2 linked regions of the Rhinolophus ferrumequinum genome follow. The protein of the gene in region 2 interacts with the protein of the main gene of each other region in a biochemical or structural test. Links are inferred from orthologs where the notes say so. Each region holds a gene or a part of one and is shown on either strand. Other genes may lie near its edges.

Evidence for each region.
Region 1: the proteins of FYB1 (region 2) and SKAP1 form a complex in vitro, tested with the Homo sapiens proteins (2 studies listed by BioGRID and IntAct, with this or other methods). The link is inferred for Rhinolophus ferrumequinum from reciprocal best matches to the Homo sapiens genes FYB1 and SKAP1.

The regions. Positions count from the first base shown.
Region 1 is NC_046304.1:34,608,788-34,617,583, forward strand, and holds the start of SKAP1 (src kinase-associated phosphoprotein 1), read left to right. Parts: upstream 1-5,106; 5' UTR 5,107-5,236; coding exon 5,237-5,285; intron 5,286-8,796. UniProt on the Homo sapiens protein: Positively regulates T-cell receptor signaling by enhancing the MAP kinase pathway. Required for optimal conjugation between T-cells and antigen-presenting cells by promoting the clustering of integrin ITGAL on the surface of T-cells.
Region 2 is NC_046290.1:26,058,748-26,067,128, forward strand, and holds the start of FYB1 (FYN-binding protein 1), read right to left. Parts: upstream 3,867-8,381; 5' UTR 3,769-3,866; coding exon 3,766-3,768; intron 1-3,765. UniProt on the Homo sapiens protein: Acts as an adapter protein of the FYN and LCP2 signaling cascades in T-cells. May play a role in linking T-cell signaling to remodeling of the actin cytoskeleton. Modulates the expression of IL2. Involved in platelet activation.

The sequences.
Region 1 (8,796 bases), on a different chromosome or scaffold from region 2:
AAGTATTTTTACCCACTTTCTTGCATTGAAACAATCAGCCATTGCTGGTGTTATGTCTGAATCCAGGTAGTGCTTCTGTTGGTATTTGTGAATATTTGTGATTCTAATCAGATTATATCAGCTCCTTTAAATGTGAGTTTTCCTCCAAAGCATGTGTGCATGTGTGCCATACAGGCCAGACATTTCTGTCAGATTCTAAGTCACTGACCCTTCTCTCAACTTAATTCCCTTACCTCAACGCTGAATTCTAAGACCTGTAGAAAAAGGGAGGGAAAAGAAAGGGCAGAAATAAAGGAAGGGGCTTAGGGAGCTTAAACTTTTACCTTTGGAAAAACAGATGAAAGGAAACCAAAGAAAGCCATTTCAACCTTAGAAAATTGCTATCCTTCTATTATTTACCTTTAATCTCCTTAAGCACACCCAAAGAAATGGTTATTCCTTTTAGATAGTTTTCCAAAGTTATCATGTCTGCGAACATCTAGCCTATAAAATCCGCCTTGACCTCACCTGCTTCCTGTGCAGATTAACCCCATAGACGGCCCCACACCTCACTTGGAGTGCACAGCCTCATCTGGCTACAGCTGACACATTCTGCATGTCAACCCCTCCCCTTCAGATTCCCAAGAGAACCAATCAAAGGCGGAGAATGTCAGAGTCAGCAACCTCTTCCGTCTTCAGGGCCTCTGCTGGGCCCAGCAGTGCCCAAGGGGGATGTCTAATGTGGTCTAAGGGATAGGCAAAGAAGATACAAAAAAAAAAAAAGTGACTAAGGAATGCAGGGAAAAATAATAAGGGAACTGATAGAAAGATAAGATAAAGAACAAAGAAAGAGGTGTTACTCTTTAGATGGAGGGGGACCAACAGGATTGCTTCACAGAGCTGCTCAGTGATACCTGGGCTGTAATTATCCATCTCCGGTGTTCAGTTCTACAAGAGCTTTGGACCAGTGTTAGGGAACCAGGATTCTAATGCCAGTGCAGCCCCTGGTGAGCTGGGTGGCCCCCTGAGCAGAACACTGACTGGGTCTGTTCCTCATCTTGAATTTGATCACCTTGAAGATTTGAGTTTTAATAGTCCTTGTTCGGTTCTGAGCCTGTGCTTTATAGAGAACCTGCTTTGGGAATAGTCCTTAATATGATATGAGAACCTGCTCGTTTTGTTGTATTAGTGCAGAGAATCTAGGAGTGTGATCTGGAAGGGGGAGAACATCGAAGTGCATTTATGTGAGTGTATGCATAATAGGACCCTTTTAAGTTGAAAGTTTAGCTAATTAGTAAGAGCAAGGCTTCTGGCAAGCTGTGGAAACCTGCAATTTAAAGCCACTGAAGCGATGTGCCCAACTGAGCATCTTGCGTTCGTCTCCTCTCCCTCAGGTGGCATGAGGCCCGGTTTCTGAGGCCTTGCAGAGCTGCAGTGAGCCTGGTACTTGGCACTGGCAGGATGCATCATCTCTCTTTCCACAGCCCTTAATGAAGTGTGCAGCTCTTGTCCTCATTAGGCCCCAACATCGTCAATAAAAGAGTCAATAAACCCGGTTGATGGGGCTGGGACTGAGGGGCTGAGAGGCAGTGGCCGCACTTCCAAAGGGCAGACGTCAGCTCCACCGCATGTCGTGACCCAGCATCCAGGGATCAATAGCCAGCTCGGAATAAAGCCCAAGAGCCTGCCCGCTGCAGTCTCCTCTCCAGACCCATTTCGTCCAGGGCAGAGCAATGCCAGCCGGCCCCTGCTTTGCTTGCAGTTGTTCCCACCCCATGCCATTCTGGGTGCCAGATGCTTTTGTTGCTTCCTGATTAAGCCCTCTGGATACCCAATGGATGCATATTTAGTGAGTGCCCACCTGGCATGAGAACATGTCGATGGCAACTCCAAGCAGCCCAGAGGCTGGCATGGGCCCTGTTTTCTGTGTCTTCTGTCTGCTGACAGTGTGTGAGGGGCCCCGGGAGGCCAGGAGGTATATTTTCTGCATGTTGTGCTGCAGGACTCCATTCCTGCCTGCTTTGCATCTCTTTAGATACCCTTATCTTATCTAATTACAAGGAATTCCAGCTTAATTTCATGGCCTCTGCTCCAGAGGACCTCTTATCTGCGAGGGCCTTGTATTTTAACCTTGTCATTCATTTGTTGTTTGCCTTTAAGGGCCAGGCAGCTAAGAAGAGGATGCTAAGATGTTACTGGAATTGGGGCTGGGGGGAGGGGAAGAAGAGGGAGGCAGACAGACCTGGGATTTGTGTATTCTGCTCCATCCCCTTGCCTGTGTGCAGAGACAGCTGGCTGCTTACTTTCATGACAGCCACATGGTACCCAGCCACACAGAACAGGACCCGGGCAGGGACTCGTCTGCTGCCAACCTCTCCAGATCCCTTTGATATTTCCGACAGAGCACTAAAGGACTCTTGACTATCACGTTTTGCCTTGCCTCTTTCTACCTCCTCTAAGACTCCTCTGTGTGGTTTCCATGGCTACCCCCAATCAGATTTGGCTTCCTTCGAAATTGGATTTCAAAGAAAGACAAGGCTTCAAAGGAATTTGTCCATTTAACAGAATGTCATTAGGAGTGAGGCTGACTGCTGAACCAGGGTCCTCAGATGATTAAGGAGGGGTTGCGCTCATGTGTGGAGGCAGGTTTCTCTCTGCAATGAGGAACCTTGATGCAACATGACAATGCCGTATTGGAATCTGCCAGTCACCCACTGCACACTACCCAACACTGCACCTCCCTCTACCTCTAAAACCTAAAATGGATGTAGAATACCTGCTCCACAAGTTTATGCCGCATCCCTCAGTATAAGTAAGCTATGACAGGTAGTGAGGCCTAGGAGGTGTGCAATTACCTGGGTTTATTGCTCCTATCAAGCAACTCATTAGCTTGTAGCCTATTTTAGCATCTGACAAATATCCTTGAAGAAGAGGGGGAGGTTGTCAAAGTTCCTACTATTGCTGAGAGGGAAATCAAGGAAAAGTGCTGGGGTTACATATAGGAAGGACGTTGTTTCCCCTGCTGTGTTTTAGAATAGTTTTAGGTTTAGAGAAAAATTGCAACGATAGTCCAGGAAGTTCCAATATATCCTTTCTTGCTTTTTAAACACATGTCAGAAGTACTCAAAAATGATTCCAGAGCAGCTACAATTTTATAGCAGGAGCAGTGAGTGTGGTAAAAATGCCCCAGCAGGGACCTACCTGGTATTTGCTCTGAAGCCTGGAGGAGGCAGCCTTCCCATCGTTAACTTTCCCACAGCAAGAAGGAGGAATTGCAGGAGCTAGACTCCCGAGAGACTCCTACCAGCCTCTGTCCCTCTGCCCCCACCCCAATATGCTGCAACTTATGCGTGTGTCATGTGACCCTGAAACCAAGGCACCGCACCATATCTCTTCAGATCTCAGGGTGCAGACATGTAAAGATGGCTCAACGCCACTGCACCTGGTAAAGGATCCAGCCTCCAACCTCGAGACTTTATCTCTGGAGGGGAAACTATGCCAGGAAGCAGGCACTGCTACCATGTGTCCTTCTGGACAATTTCTCTTTGCTGCTCCTCTCCCATATCCAGCCTCCAACCTCGAGACTGTATCTCTGGAGGGGAAACTATGCCAGGAAGCAGGCACTGCTACCATGTGTCCTTCTGGACAATTTCTCTTTGCTGCTCCTCTCCCATATCCGTGGTTTCATTCATCATTCTTTCCCCTGAGGCTGCTGTAAAAACCACTTCACCCATCTTCCCTGTGTCCTCTCTCTTACCACTCCCAATCCTTCCCACATGTTCTGTATGTAGAGTCTGAGAACAGAAACTCCACTTTTCACAAAGAAGGAAAAAGATAGAGGTGAAGTGAGATGTGGGAGATCACACATGATACAGGGACTCAGGTTAGGGCGCTCCCTGGCTCAAAATTTGTCAGTGGCTCCCTAGTGCCCACTCAATTGATGTCAGTCAAAATCCTCATTCTGACTTCCAAGTCCCTTCACATTAGAGCTTCCATTTTTCTTGACAACTGTAATTTCCCTATACCATCCAGTAAAAGAGGGTTATTAACTGTTCCTCGAGCAGGAGGAGGCTTTTCCACCTTTACTTACTCTGGGTTCTTCCACCTGGAAAGTCTTTCTGCCTCTTCAAGTCTGTGGTGTTCAGAGCCCATCTCAAATGCCATTCAACACACATACACGACACTTCCCTTCTTTTCTTATATCCGACTCCCTCCTTTTATAGCCTGTGGCACTTTATACTTTTTGCATGGCACTTGGCCCATTGCACCTTTTAAAAAAATGAAGTCTATTTTGAGATAGCAGCATATTCACAGAACGTATGAGAAATGACACGGAGCCATCCTGTTTACCCAGTTTTGCCCAATGGTGACATCTTGCAATATTACAGTAGTATCACAACCAGGACATGGACACCTGCTCTGTGAATGAGGGAGAGAACCCTTATCTGTGATCTTGTCCTTCACTTTCCTCCCTTTGTCAGTTCTTAGAGGGAGGGGGCTCAGTTGCCCCTCCCTCAGCTTTCTCCCCAGGTCACCTCTTCTTTTCCTCACATCCTTTCAGCCTTAGAGAGGAAGCGAGACTTTGGTTTCCTGTGTCCATCGCGCTGATTCTCCCAAATGTTAGTGACTTTTAGTATTTCTTGGGATTTACGGTCATTCCCGTTAAACATCCTGATTTGCCTGAAACAGCGAATGTTCTGCGCTGGTTTCTGGGTGTGGATGTGCGAACTGGATCCGGAACTGAGTGCTGCTAGGCTTGGTGGGGACCTCGGATTCTGTGCCCCACGCCCCTTCTGGGGCACCACCGTGGCTTTCGCACCAGCCCCTTGAGGCCAGTTGTTCAGTGCTTAGGATGCGAAGTCTCCGAGAGACAAGGTTCCCTGGAGTCGCGTTTAGTCTTTTGTTTTGGTGGGAGGTCTAGAGCCGCACCGCTTGGGCCCTGCCTGGTGTGGCATCCCGCGATCTTTCTCCCTCCGGGCGCCTGCGGGAATGGCGTGTGCACGGCGAACAGGTGTCTCCCCGTCGCCCCCCACCCCCAGCCCCCGCCTGTCCCGGGTGCCCCCGCCCGCGAGCGCCACTTCCTGAGCGCAGCCCCGCCCTGCGGCGCAGCCCCGCGGCGTCCGCGGCGGCGGTGGCGACAGAGGTACAGGTGCCTTCGCCGTGCCGCCCACGCCTTGCCGTCGGTCCGCCGGCCTCTGCACCAGGCCTTCACGGCCGCTCTCCTGCCACACACTCGGCCTCCCCTCCGCCCCAGCAAATGCAGGCCGCCGTCGTCCTCCCCGAGGAGATCCGTTGGCTCCTGGCAGGTAACGCCCTGGCCCTCCGGGAAGTCCCTCCAGTGCTGAGCTGAGGGCAGGAAAGGAGACGCCAGCGCCTCCCAAGGCTGGGCTTTCTTTTCATCACTCACCACCTTCTAGAACCTCAAGGCTTTTAGAGTCCTCAACCCTGCAAAGCCAGATTTTCCTCCTCCTACCTCAGGGGCTCTTGCACTCCCCTCAGTTCCGCACTTTCTTTTTTCTCAAGGCGTCGCCACCGCTCCACTTAGCCTCCCAGGCTTCTGAACAACCGCAGGCCAGGTTCGTGGTCCCCGCTCCACGCCACCTGGCCTGACCTTTAATCTGTCTCTTTTTCCTTACGATGATTTCCTCAGGCCTGTCCGTTTGTACCCTCCTCCCTCCCCAATTCAGGACTCTCACCATCTCTCACAGAAGACCCTCACCCTCTTGCTTAGAGGTCCCTGAGGCCCTCAAGGGGATTGTGAGGGGCTCATGGGATCCTGTGGCCAAGGCTTGGGGGTTAATGAGTTTGTGTCAGCGCCAAAACCCCTGGCTTCCCTCTCTGCCAGCCTGCAGTCTTCTGGGGACTCATTATCCGCCCAGGGCAGGCTGACCCTCAGTATCCCATTTTTTCTTGTTCTAGAAGTGCCCCACTGGTGTGTTCACCTGCAAACTCAAGTGCCTAAGCGGGGAAGGCCATACTCACACTCAACACATCTTCCTAACACTCCAAAGAGACTTGTACTAATGGGCAATAGCATCTGCTCAGTTCACACTTTTTTTTTTTTTGGTGAAAGTAACCTGTTTTCCTGTAACTGACCTTCTTGAAAAGACAGAGGCCTGGAATCTGTGCTGCCATAAGGGTCCCGGGAGGAAAGTCAGAACTAAGCCTTTTGGCATGTCAGTGACATTTTTGACATGTATTTAACAGATGGCCTGCTTTGGGCAGGTCATACTTTTGGCAAGCAGTAATTTTTTCACTTTCTCTGGATTTAATTGGTTTTTGTACCTCCATTACTTTGTTATCTTGGTATAAATGCCTCCTAATCAAATATTTGGCAAGTCCTTTTAGTCTCTGTTTGCATCATTGTTTCCATTCAGGACTGTTTCTGTGTAAAAGCTGTCAACTAGATATTTATTTTGAGGTGAACTTTCCAAAATCTGTTTTACTTCTATGACCCGAGTAAATGTAAAATTTCAGAGCAGAAAAGTGTCTGCAGGTTAAAAGAATATCATTTGGGTATCTGAGAAGAAACCATCCAGCCTTCCCTCTGCTGTTGATTCAATATTCATTGTGTAGAGAGGCTGTTAAGTGTGGTTTCCCGGAAAGAAGGAACTGTGGCAAAAAGTTTAATTCTGCCCTTGCATTTAAAGATACAAAGTGATTCTTTTTATTGGTATCTGTCATTTGATGAGAGGAAACCTATTTTACAAGCTCGTTAAACTACACTTCTGTTTTGTGTGCAGCCTCCGTAGAAAATTCCTTTTTATTTTCAGAGACTTGCAATGAAATCCTCTCCTTCGACATTTTTGATGTGCAGTTCTTTATTGTTCAAAACTGACACTTTGGTAAACAACTCATTTCTGCACCTGCCACCTTCCTTTAGCTTAGATTATTTTCTTGTTAGCTGACTGGTTTTAATTGAAGTCTTCAGATCTCCTTCTAAAGCAGAACCTTTGTTTGCTGACAAGTAGAGCAGGGTATGAATGGAGATTAATCGTGTGTCACATACTTCTGTATCAAACTTGCTGTGTTTTAACAATCTCCGCTGGTGCTCTGGTCTTTAGAATATATGGAAGAGTCTGAGATTAAATTTTAAGGAACTTCATTAGTTAATGTATTTCTTGAAGGCCTTTAAAAAAAGTTTGCAATTAGAGTTTGAATCTGAAACAGAGAAAAAAATGTAAAGGTAGGATTCAACCAACAATTCTATTGAAAAATGTTTAAAAAATATGTTTCTGAAAGGTTCATGTAATCATAGCAACATATTGGTTATAGGCTTTGGTTTTTATGGAACACTGTCTCTGGCCTAGACCAGCAGAATTACTCATTGTACTACAAATTGTGGATATTAGAAACCCATAATTGCTTTCAATTTAGCGTATGTTGCTGTTTACTTGTTTCTCCCCTCACATACTTTTTAAGGTTGACTGTTGACAATTAGAAAATATGTAGGTCCTGATCTCTATATCATCACTCAGTGGAGGGAGTTACAGGGTGAGAGGGCTGTCACTTTAGTGCTGCCACATGGCCGTGGGGGTGGAGTTTCCACAATGAATTACTGTTTTCATAAACCAAGGCACAAGCATTTGCACAGTGATTTAATGTGGGCCATCACAGCCATAACTTAAGCATTTATTTAATTATAACTACATGGGCATAAGTGACGGGTGTTTTTGACATAATGGGTGTGCTTTAAACAATAAAATATGCAAAAATTTGTGAAAGGTTTATGCCAAAATTTTGTATAATGAAGAAGGGAGCAGAAATTCTGGTCTAAAATTAATTTTGTTTGAGGATAAAATTTTAGACATTTCAAAATATTTCATTCAACCCAGAAACTCCACTTCTAGGAATCTGTGTTACTGAAATTAAAGGACATGAAACATATATAAAGATCCGTCCTTAATATCCGTGAGTTGGGAAAGGTGGGGCAATGGTATGAATGAATTATTCATCTTAGGGAATATTTTGCAGCCATTAAAAAAGATGTGATGGTTATGGATGATGTGATACAGAATTGCACACCTGAAATCTATGTAATTTTACTAACAATTGTCACCCCAATAAATTAAAAAAAAAAGATGTGATGGATAGGCTTAGAAAATATCCATAACATATTTTTAAGACTAAAAAACAAGGTGTACGATAATATATATAACATCCCATTTTTGTCTGAAAAATGTTTGTGCAATCCTAGGAAGAAGAAAGAAAGAATATACACTAAGCTGTTAACATTGGTTTCCTTGGGAGGGGAGTGAGAGGGTGGAAGAGAGAGATTATTAACTATATTTCATATATCTTTGTGTTTTTTGAATTGTGACAATGGCCAAGTAATGATTTTGTAATCAGGAAAAAACAACCAGGAAGGTTATTTTAAAGAAAAAGGAACAAACAAAAGACAAATAGAAGCTTGGAGAGGTCAGAGTGCTAAAGGGCCATTAACCAAGATTGTGATTATATTTTTCTGTTGTTAGGCCTGGAGGTGTATGTGTGGAATTAAAAAAAAAAAATCCTTTCTTGGATTTTTGGCAAGTGTTAAAGCATTGAGAGACTACTAGTATAACTCAGGAAACAGCTTCCTCAGATAGACTGTCAAGCTCTCAAATAGAAATAGTAACTAGTCTGTATCAGCAAATAAGTACCTTATAGATAAGTAAAATGAAGGGCATTTACTGCATTATTGAAACAGGAGGAAATATTCAGGGCTGTTTTCAAATAATCAGGCTTCAGATGTAGAGGCTATCTTTTTGTTTTTGTTTTGTGATAACCATGATGAAAATAAAAACAATGGAGTGCTGGCAGTTTGCATAATCTTTG
Region 2 (8,381 bases):
CTTACCAACATTCACTTTATAGGGGTACCAGAAGGAGAAAAGAGAGAGCAAGGAATCAAAAACCAATCTGAAGAAATAATGACCAAAAATTTCCCTAACCTGATGAAGGAAATAGATATACAACACCAGAAGCACAGAGAGTCCCAAATAAGATGAACCCAAAGAGGCCAACACTAAGACACATCATAATTACAATGCCAAAGGTTAAAGACAAAGATAAAATCTTAAAAGCAACAAAAGAAAAGCAATTAGTTAACTACAAGGGAGCTCCCATAAGACTATCAACTGATTTCTCAACAGAAACTTTGCAGGCCAGAAGTATTGGCAGGAAATATTCAAAGTGATGAAAAGCAAGGACTTACAACTAGATTACCCAGCAAAGCTGTCATTTAGAATTGAAGGATAGATAAAGAGTTTCCCAAACACGAAAAAGCTAAAGGAGTTCATCACCACCAAACCAGTATTATAAGGAATCTTAGAGAGACTTTTTTAAGATGAAAAAAATATATATGGATAATAAAATGGCAATAACTACATATCTATCAGCAATTGCTTTCAATGTCTATAGATTACATCCTCCAATCAAAAGGTGGGGGAGCTGAATAGATAAGAAAACAAGACCCTTACATATGCTGCCTACAAGAGACTCACTTCAGATGGAAAGATACACACAGATGGGAACTAAAAGGATGAAAAAAGATACTTCATGAAAATGGAGACAAAGAAACAAACAAACAAACAAAAGCTGGGGTAGCAATACTTATACCAGACAATACACACTTTAAAACAAAGCCTATAACAAGAGACAAAGAAGGACCTAGTAATCCCACTTCTGGGTATTTATCTGAACAAACCCAAAATGCTACTTCCAGGTGACGTGCTCATCCATATGTTCATTGCAGCGTTATTTACAATAGCCAAGATATGAAGGAAACCTGGGTGTCCCTGAATGAATGAATGAATGAATAAAGAAGAGGTGGTACATATATACAATGGAATATTACTCAGCTGTAAAAAAGGAATGAAATCTTGCCATCTGCGATAACATGGATGGACTTAGAAGGTATTGTGCTGACTGTAGTAAGTCAGACAGCAAAAGACAAATGTCATATGATTTTACTTACAAGTGGAATCTGAAGAACAAAATAAATAAACAAAACAGAAACAAATTCATAGATATAGAGAACATTTTATTGGTTGCCAGATGGAAGGGGGCTTAGGGATAGGTGAAAAGGGGAAAGGATTAAGAAGTACAAATTGGTTGTTACACAGTAGTCATAGGGGTGTAGGGTATAGCGTAAGGAATATAATAAATAATATCATAATAACTATGTATGGTGTCAGATGGGTACTAGATCAGTCGGGGTGATAGATATGAGAGGGGTTAGGGGCAGGGTGAAAAAGTTGAAGAGATTAAGAAATACAAATTAGTAGTTACAAAATAGTCATGGGGATGTAAACTACAGGGAATATAATCAATAATATGGTAATAACTATAGGGACAGGTAGGTACTAGACAGGGGGATCACTTCCTAAATTATATAAATATCTAACCACTATGCTGTACACTTGAAACTAATATAAAATAATATTGGGTGTCAACTCTAATTGAAAAATTAAAAAAAAGGGAGGGAAGATAAAGAAGAATGAGGTTCAAAGTTCCAGATGTAAAACAAATAAGTCTTGGGGATGTAATATACAGAATAGGAAATATAGTCAATAATATTGTGTTAGTGTGGTACAATGTCAGATCGTTCCTGGACTAATGGTGATCACTTCTTTAGCATAGGGAATATAACCAATAATGTGGTAATAACTGCATAGTTCACTAATATAATATTGTATGTTAGCTATATTTTAATAAAAATCTTTTAAAAAGGCAGAAAAAAAGAAAAATAATCAGACAATGTATATAAAAAATGATTGTGACATTCTTGTCTGTATTACCATGAAGGAGGAAAAATAAAATAAGAAGCCAAAATGTCCACATATATTGAAACAATTAAAATAAATTATGGAATACTACACTGCAATTAAAAATCATTTATCATTAGAAATAATATATAACTCAGATATTTTTCAAAATATTTAAATAAAAAATCAGATAAGAAAATGGTTTATAAAGTATAGAAAATTATATTTGTAAAATATATTTTAAAGTGCCGAAATTCTAGAACTGGTACTAACTGAACAATGATTGTCCCCTAGGTGATAGAAAATTTGTATTGTTTTATTTCTACATATCTATATTTCTAAGAAATTTTCTTTAATAATGTGTTCTTTTTATAATAAGAAAGTGACAATCTCTTAAGAAAGCGATTATGTATTATGTTATACATAAGAAAGTGCTTATGTATTACAGCAAACATACACTATCCAGTTAAACTTTTTTTCTACCTGCTATTATCATCTTGTTTGCCCCAAGAAAATCCAAATAACTCTTTTAATCCACAAAGACCTTGTTTATTATTGAAGAGGGTATCAGTAATTAAGGTCAAGCTATTTTCTAAGAATCCTGGGCCTAAAGACCCAGTTTGGAAATAATAGAGACTTGTAAGCCCCACCTTGATAAGTGACTGCCTTCCTCTTACAGGTATGGCTAGGGAGGGTCATGTGCTACGATTTTCTTCACCACTATGCATTCTTCTCCCCTATGACTCTGAAACTCTGACCCCGTCTCTCTTCCTTCTCCTCACTCTCTCTTCTATGGCAAGGTGACACTCTCTCACCTCTACACTTCCCCAATCTGGCTCAAGAGCTTCCAGCCTACAAACACAACCCATGAATGCTTTGTCCTCTCTATTCCAATGCCTGCAGTGCAATCCCTCCCCCTGAGTAGGAGTCATGGTCTCAGTTCACATCTTCTCATTGGGAGCTGCCAAAGGAAGTGATCCTCTCCATAATGAGAGAAGGAATAACCAATCTCCAGGTTTCTGGGGGCTGGGGAAGGGTGTGTGTGGGATGGACAGTTGGCTCTCTTCTAGACTGGGAGCATAAGTATACCACATGTATTAAGAACACAGCCAATTTTTACAGAGAAGTAATAAGAAACTATGTAGCAGAATATTAATGCTGTAGCTCAGCTACATTACAGGTTAAGCTCGTTTTTATGGTACAGCTGGGAACCCAGGCACAACTTTAAGTATGCTCTAAATAATGGCTTTTAATTAACTTCGGGAACGAAAACCTGTCCCTATGGTTTGAACTATTTGGGCTTTGTTTGCTTCTCTTAATTAAAATAATAAAACGTATTTTTTAAACAAAAGAGCTCCCTTTTTAAAAAATCTACTGTGTGGTCAAAATGGCACTCATCATCACAATATTACCGGATGCATATCATTGGAGCTCTCCTCTAGGATCCAAAGTGTTCATAATAGGAAATTTCAATACGTTGCTCCCTATGGCACCCAGCTATCTTAAGAGGCAAAGGCAAGAAAGTACAAGTTTTCTTTCTGTAGGGCATATTGCCAGAAGAAGACCTTAAAATGGAGGCATTCTTTAGTTTAACCAGAATCTCTCTTATTCACTATTTCTTCCTCTATTTTAAAGGCTAGAATCAGAAAAAGGAACTCCTGAAGCCACAGTCTCTCAACTGGTATAATAAAAACCCAGCAGCTTTAATAGCAAATGGAACAACAATGGGGCAGGCAAAAATTCCCAAGGCTTGAAGACCTGGCTGTAAAGCACCCCCACCCCTCTGCTCCATGGAGAGAAGATTAGATATTTTCCAGGAGACCAGGGAGAGCCATAAAATCGATCACTTACCATTTTTATTGAAAAGAGTTGATGTGCTTGGCACAGAGCGACCCCGAAGATGCTGTAACTTGGACAGTGAATGTGCAAGTTAACTTTGCAGAGTGTACTTCCTTTTTTGAGCTGTGTGGTCTGTCCAGCTTTTCACACATTGATATGTAAGGTTTATTTGCATGTTATTTATCTTAGCCCTCAGAACATTTGTATAACTGGCCAGGTTTATTGAGTTATTACACTTTAATAATATGAGAAAAGCTACAGGTGAAGTTTTGAAGTCGGAAAGTTGACACAAGATTTTTTTAATGTGTCTGAATATTAAATTCTGTGTACATTATTAGCCTGTTTTTTATATAAAGTCTGTATTTGTGGATCTATTATCTATCTATCTATCATCACCTATCTATCATCTATCTATCTATGTCTACCATCTACCTGTCATCTAGCTATGAATGAAGGGCCCACTCCAAAATGTTAACAGTGATTGACTTGGGTGGAAGTATTATTAAACCTAATTCTTGTTTTGTGCTTTGCTGAGTTTTTGACTTTTCTATTTTGAGTATATAGTGCTTCTTAAAAACAACTATAATCTTAAAAGAACCAAAGGATCATGATTATTTTAATCACCAATTCCAAATATATTTAAACCAATCTAGCCAATATTTAAAAGATGGAAATAATCACAAGCTTATCATAGATGACATTCATTTCATTAAAAATATAAAGTACTTTCAATCTAGGTTCGTGTGTTAATTTTTTAGCACTTTTTGTTAGCCTCAATCCCTCATACTGTTAATCTAGATATTCTTGAGCTAAGGCCATGGCATTTGATCCTGAGTAGTCAGATTTCCCACGAATCAACTGTACCTATCTAAATGTGTTCTGGTACATGGATTTATCTCCTTTATTTTGATATATTGTCTGATACTAGAGTAATTTCAAGGGCAGAAGATCATCTTTGTTTCCTATTGCAAAGGAATGTCAACTGATTCCTTAACTTGGGGTTGCAAATTTTTAGATCTTCTTGTAAATACTACCAAATTTATCTAGTAGAGGGGCACCTAATTTCTTCATTTGATAATTGGCTAATACTACTTACTACCATGACAATACAAAATCCTTTATTAAAAAAGATGTTCCTTATTATGTATTCCTTCAAGTGAAAATGTTTTTGAAAATCAAGGTGTAGCAAGACATATGGATAGAATCATTGCCAGGACGAGGCAAGAAGGCAGGGCAAGGGCAAGTTTCAGGGATAGAAAAGATCCTGACACTGCCCTGAGACTTGTAGATATTTGAAAGCAGTTTGGGGCTTGAGGAGTAGTCAGGAACTGGGAGGGTGGTCAGTCACTTGAAATTGCACAGTCTTTGGCACATAACACATGTACAATGAATGAGTGAGGGAGAAAGTTCAAGGCAAGACAGCTCTGGGAACCAGGCATGCTAGTAGATGTAAAACATTGCCAGAAGAAGACCTTAAAATGGAGGTATTCTTTAGTTTAACCAGAATGTCTCTTATTCACTATTGGCTGGAATAGAGATGATCACAATGAAAGTACATCTTAGGGTCTATAGCTGGGGCTGTCAACCTGGCTCTGCAAGAACATCATCTGAAGTTTTCTAAATTCCCTGTTCCCAGACTTTACTCCAGACCATCAAATAATAATCTCTAGTTTTGAGATCCTGGCATCAGTATTTTTTAAAGTTCCCTAAGTGATTTCAGGGTGCTGGGCTCTAAAAGGAGGAGCAGTTGACTCATACTAGTGAGATGGGAACAGGTCACCAGGCCAGATTTGCAGGTAGAAATAATTCTGTCACTCGGTCACTGTTTACTACTAGGTTTATCAACCTATTTTCATCATGCACTACATAATAATTACCAATTCTTCATTATTCTATAATTTTCACTCTGTATAAGTAAGTTGCACAAAAATTACACGACAGAGAAAATCTAGCAATTTCCATTAACAATGTAACTACCTGGACAAGTCTTTGGTTAAGAGAACTTCAAAGTTCAATTCTTTCACTTGAATTCCATTTCAATTTCTGCTTATTTCTAAATGCAGATTAAGGTAATTTTTACTTGTCACTGACATAAATTCAGCAGTCTCACAAAAACATACATTTAAGAGATGTGTTTTGCCTAAGAAAAAAACAAGTAAGGGCTGAAGCTCCCAACCATAACTCATAATCCACCAATAAGTTTATATTTTTAGTTTTTGGAGCATGATCACTTTACTTTAAAAAATTATTTCAAATATCACATATGTTAGAACATTTTCTGTAAAGGCAACTAAGTGCATAAGTTCCTGAGCAGGAAGATGAAACAGGAAATGCAATAACGACAGACAATATAGTAATACCATCTAAAGAAGATAAAGTTATATTTTCATGGTGTGGTCACTGCAATTACTCCTGCTATGGAAAGAAGAAGTACTTCAGAGAGTGCAAAAGCGATTGGAGTTCCTCAAATACTTGGGCATGGATTCTCTTTTCAAACGTTTGCATTCTACAAAACTGTTTTTGTTTAGGCAATGGTAAAATCACTCTGTCCCTTTGGAACTCACTGAAGGCGACAGCTTGTGGAGACTGAAGTCCAGAGACAGCGGGTGGTGGGCAGAAACCAGTTTCCTTTTTTAAGGTCAATTTACAGGAAAATGGGTGGAGATACCACTAATGAAAATTTAAGTACCACTACTTACTGATCATTGTTCAGCAGTATCATCAGGGTTATATCTATCAGCTTTAAAAAGAGCATGGTTAAAATTGTTAGCACAGAGTGTTAGAAATATTCGTACACTATTTCTGCCTTATAATATGAACGGCTAACATTTTAGAGAAGAAACAAAATCATCTTCTTTAAGTGCCCAACGCAAACACGCTTGGATAAGACACTTGAGATAGGAGAACAGGGGGAGGAGTCTCACCTCTTCCAGGAAGCCTTCCCTGTTTCTTGCTCATTCATCTCCCCATTTTTCTGGACTCCTGCAGACTGCACCACGAAACAAAGGTCTTTGATATGTTTGCTCTTTATAGTTCTCCCATTGTACCAGCTGCATTTAAATATTGCTCCCTAAGTTGATTTGAAACTCCTCTGGTGTGAGTTAATTTTCATACTTCCTTCTGTCACCTTGAGATCAGAGAGCAGCTTTTATTTTTTTAAACCTTTTTTTCTTTTTTTTTTTTGGCTCATGGGTTCTTTTCAGAATCTGATAAAAGCAATACACACCTTGCACACTAATTCTGCATGTACACAGCCTCCCTTTCTTGAAAGCTTTCCTCCCTTTATGGAAAGCTGTAGGTGACTTTTTGGTTAAAATGTTGTCAAACACTAGGAGATAGTTACTATATTGCTGCTCTTTGATTATGAAATTAAAGCCAGAAATGTTAAGTGACCCTCCCAATTTTCAGACTAGGAAACCAGTCAGCTAAAACTTCATTATTTTGTAAACTTGACTCATTTTATCAACATGCTTTTGAACTGTGCCAGCAAAGAACAACTCAAATTTACAAAGTAGACTCATAGCAATTCAAGGAAATTCTACTCTCCCTGCTTGGATAGATATGGAATAGCCAAATGGAAAGTGGCAGGAAGACAGCAGGATATGAACAGGCATACTTAAAAATGTGCAGGAGGAAATGGGCAGATCCTTGACTTGGCTTATTTCTCTTTCACTTTTTATTTTGAAAATAAAATGGATTTTTTCTCTTATACTCTCTATTTTTTGAGGAAAGGAGGCCTTAACCCTATCAAAACATCAAAACTCTGGAAGAAATAACTTATTAATCAACTTTAGTACAAAATGAACTTGTCTTCCAATAGAAAGAGAGTTCCACCTATATTCAACAGGATGAGTAAAATGTATTTAAATACAAGGGCAGGGAAGAGATGTCTTTACAATTTAATCTCAACCCCAGGCAAATGTTTGCTGAACTCTAAAAGCACTGTTGACATAGAAAAATGGAAAAATGACCTAAACTTTACTTAAGGAGTCTTTCATCAAACCGATTAACTTGGAGAGCAAAGAAAAAAAAAAAAGAACAAAGCTTACAGAAGAATTCTGTTACATATTAATTTACTTATTACTTTCTTCTGCTATTTTTGCTGTCATTTGTATCTTACCCTCATCTTGGGTTTCTGGGGACTCAACATGCTCAGTGGGGTCTGTTGAGTCTTGTACTTTCCTTTCATGGCTTTTGTTATTCTCTTCTCATGGCTTCTTACTTCATTCCTTGTATATTATCCTCAGAAGCAGAATCCAGGTTGTAATCCTTTTACCTCACTGGGTTTCCAAGATAATATGTAATTGACATCATCAAAATACAGACCCTCATTTGGGTTAGCCATTGTGCTTAACAATTTGTTAAGGATAATTTGTATTTTAATGTATGCAAAAAATAAAATGTCCTATATGAATAATGGATTCATTCATTCATTCATTCATTCCCAATTTCCTCCCTGACAGGAAAATTAGGCCAGAAAGTTTGGAAAATAACAGATGTGCCTTGGGATTTTACAGACTGAGAGAAGATGACAAAAGGGAAAATGGATCACTCCATCATTCCTTGAGTTCTTTCTCTTTCCCATTGTCAATTAACTGCAGGTGTGAATACACTCATTTTCCTCATTT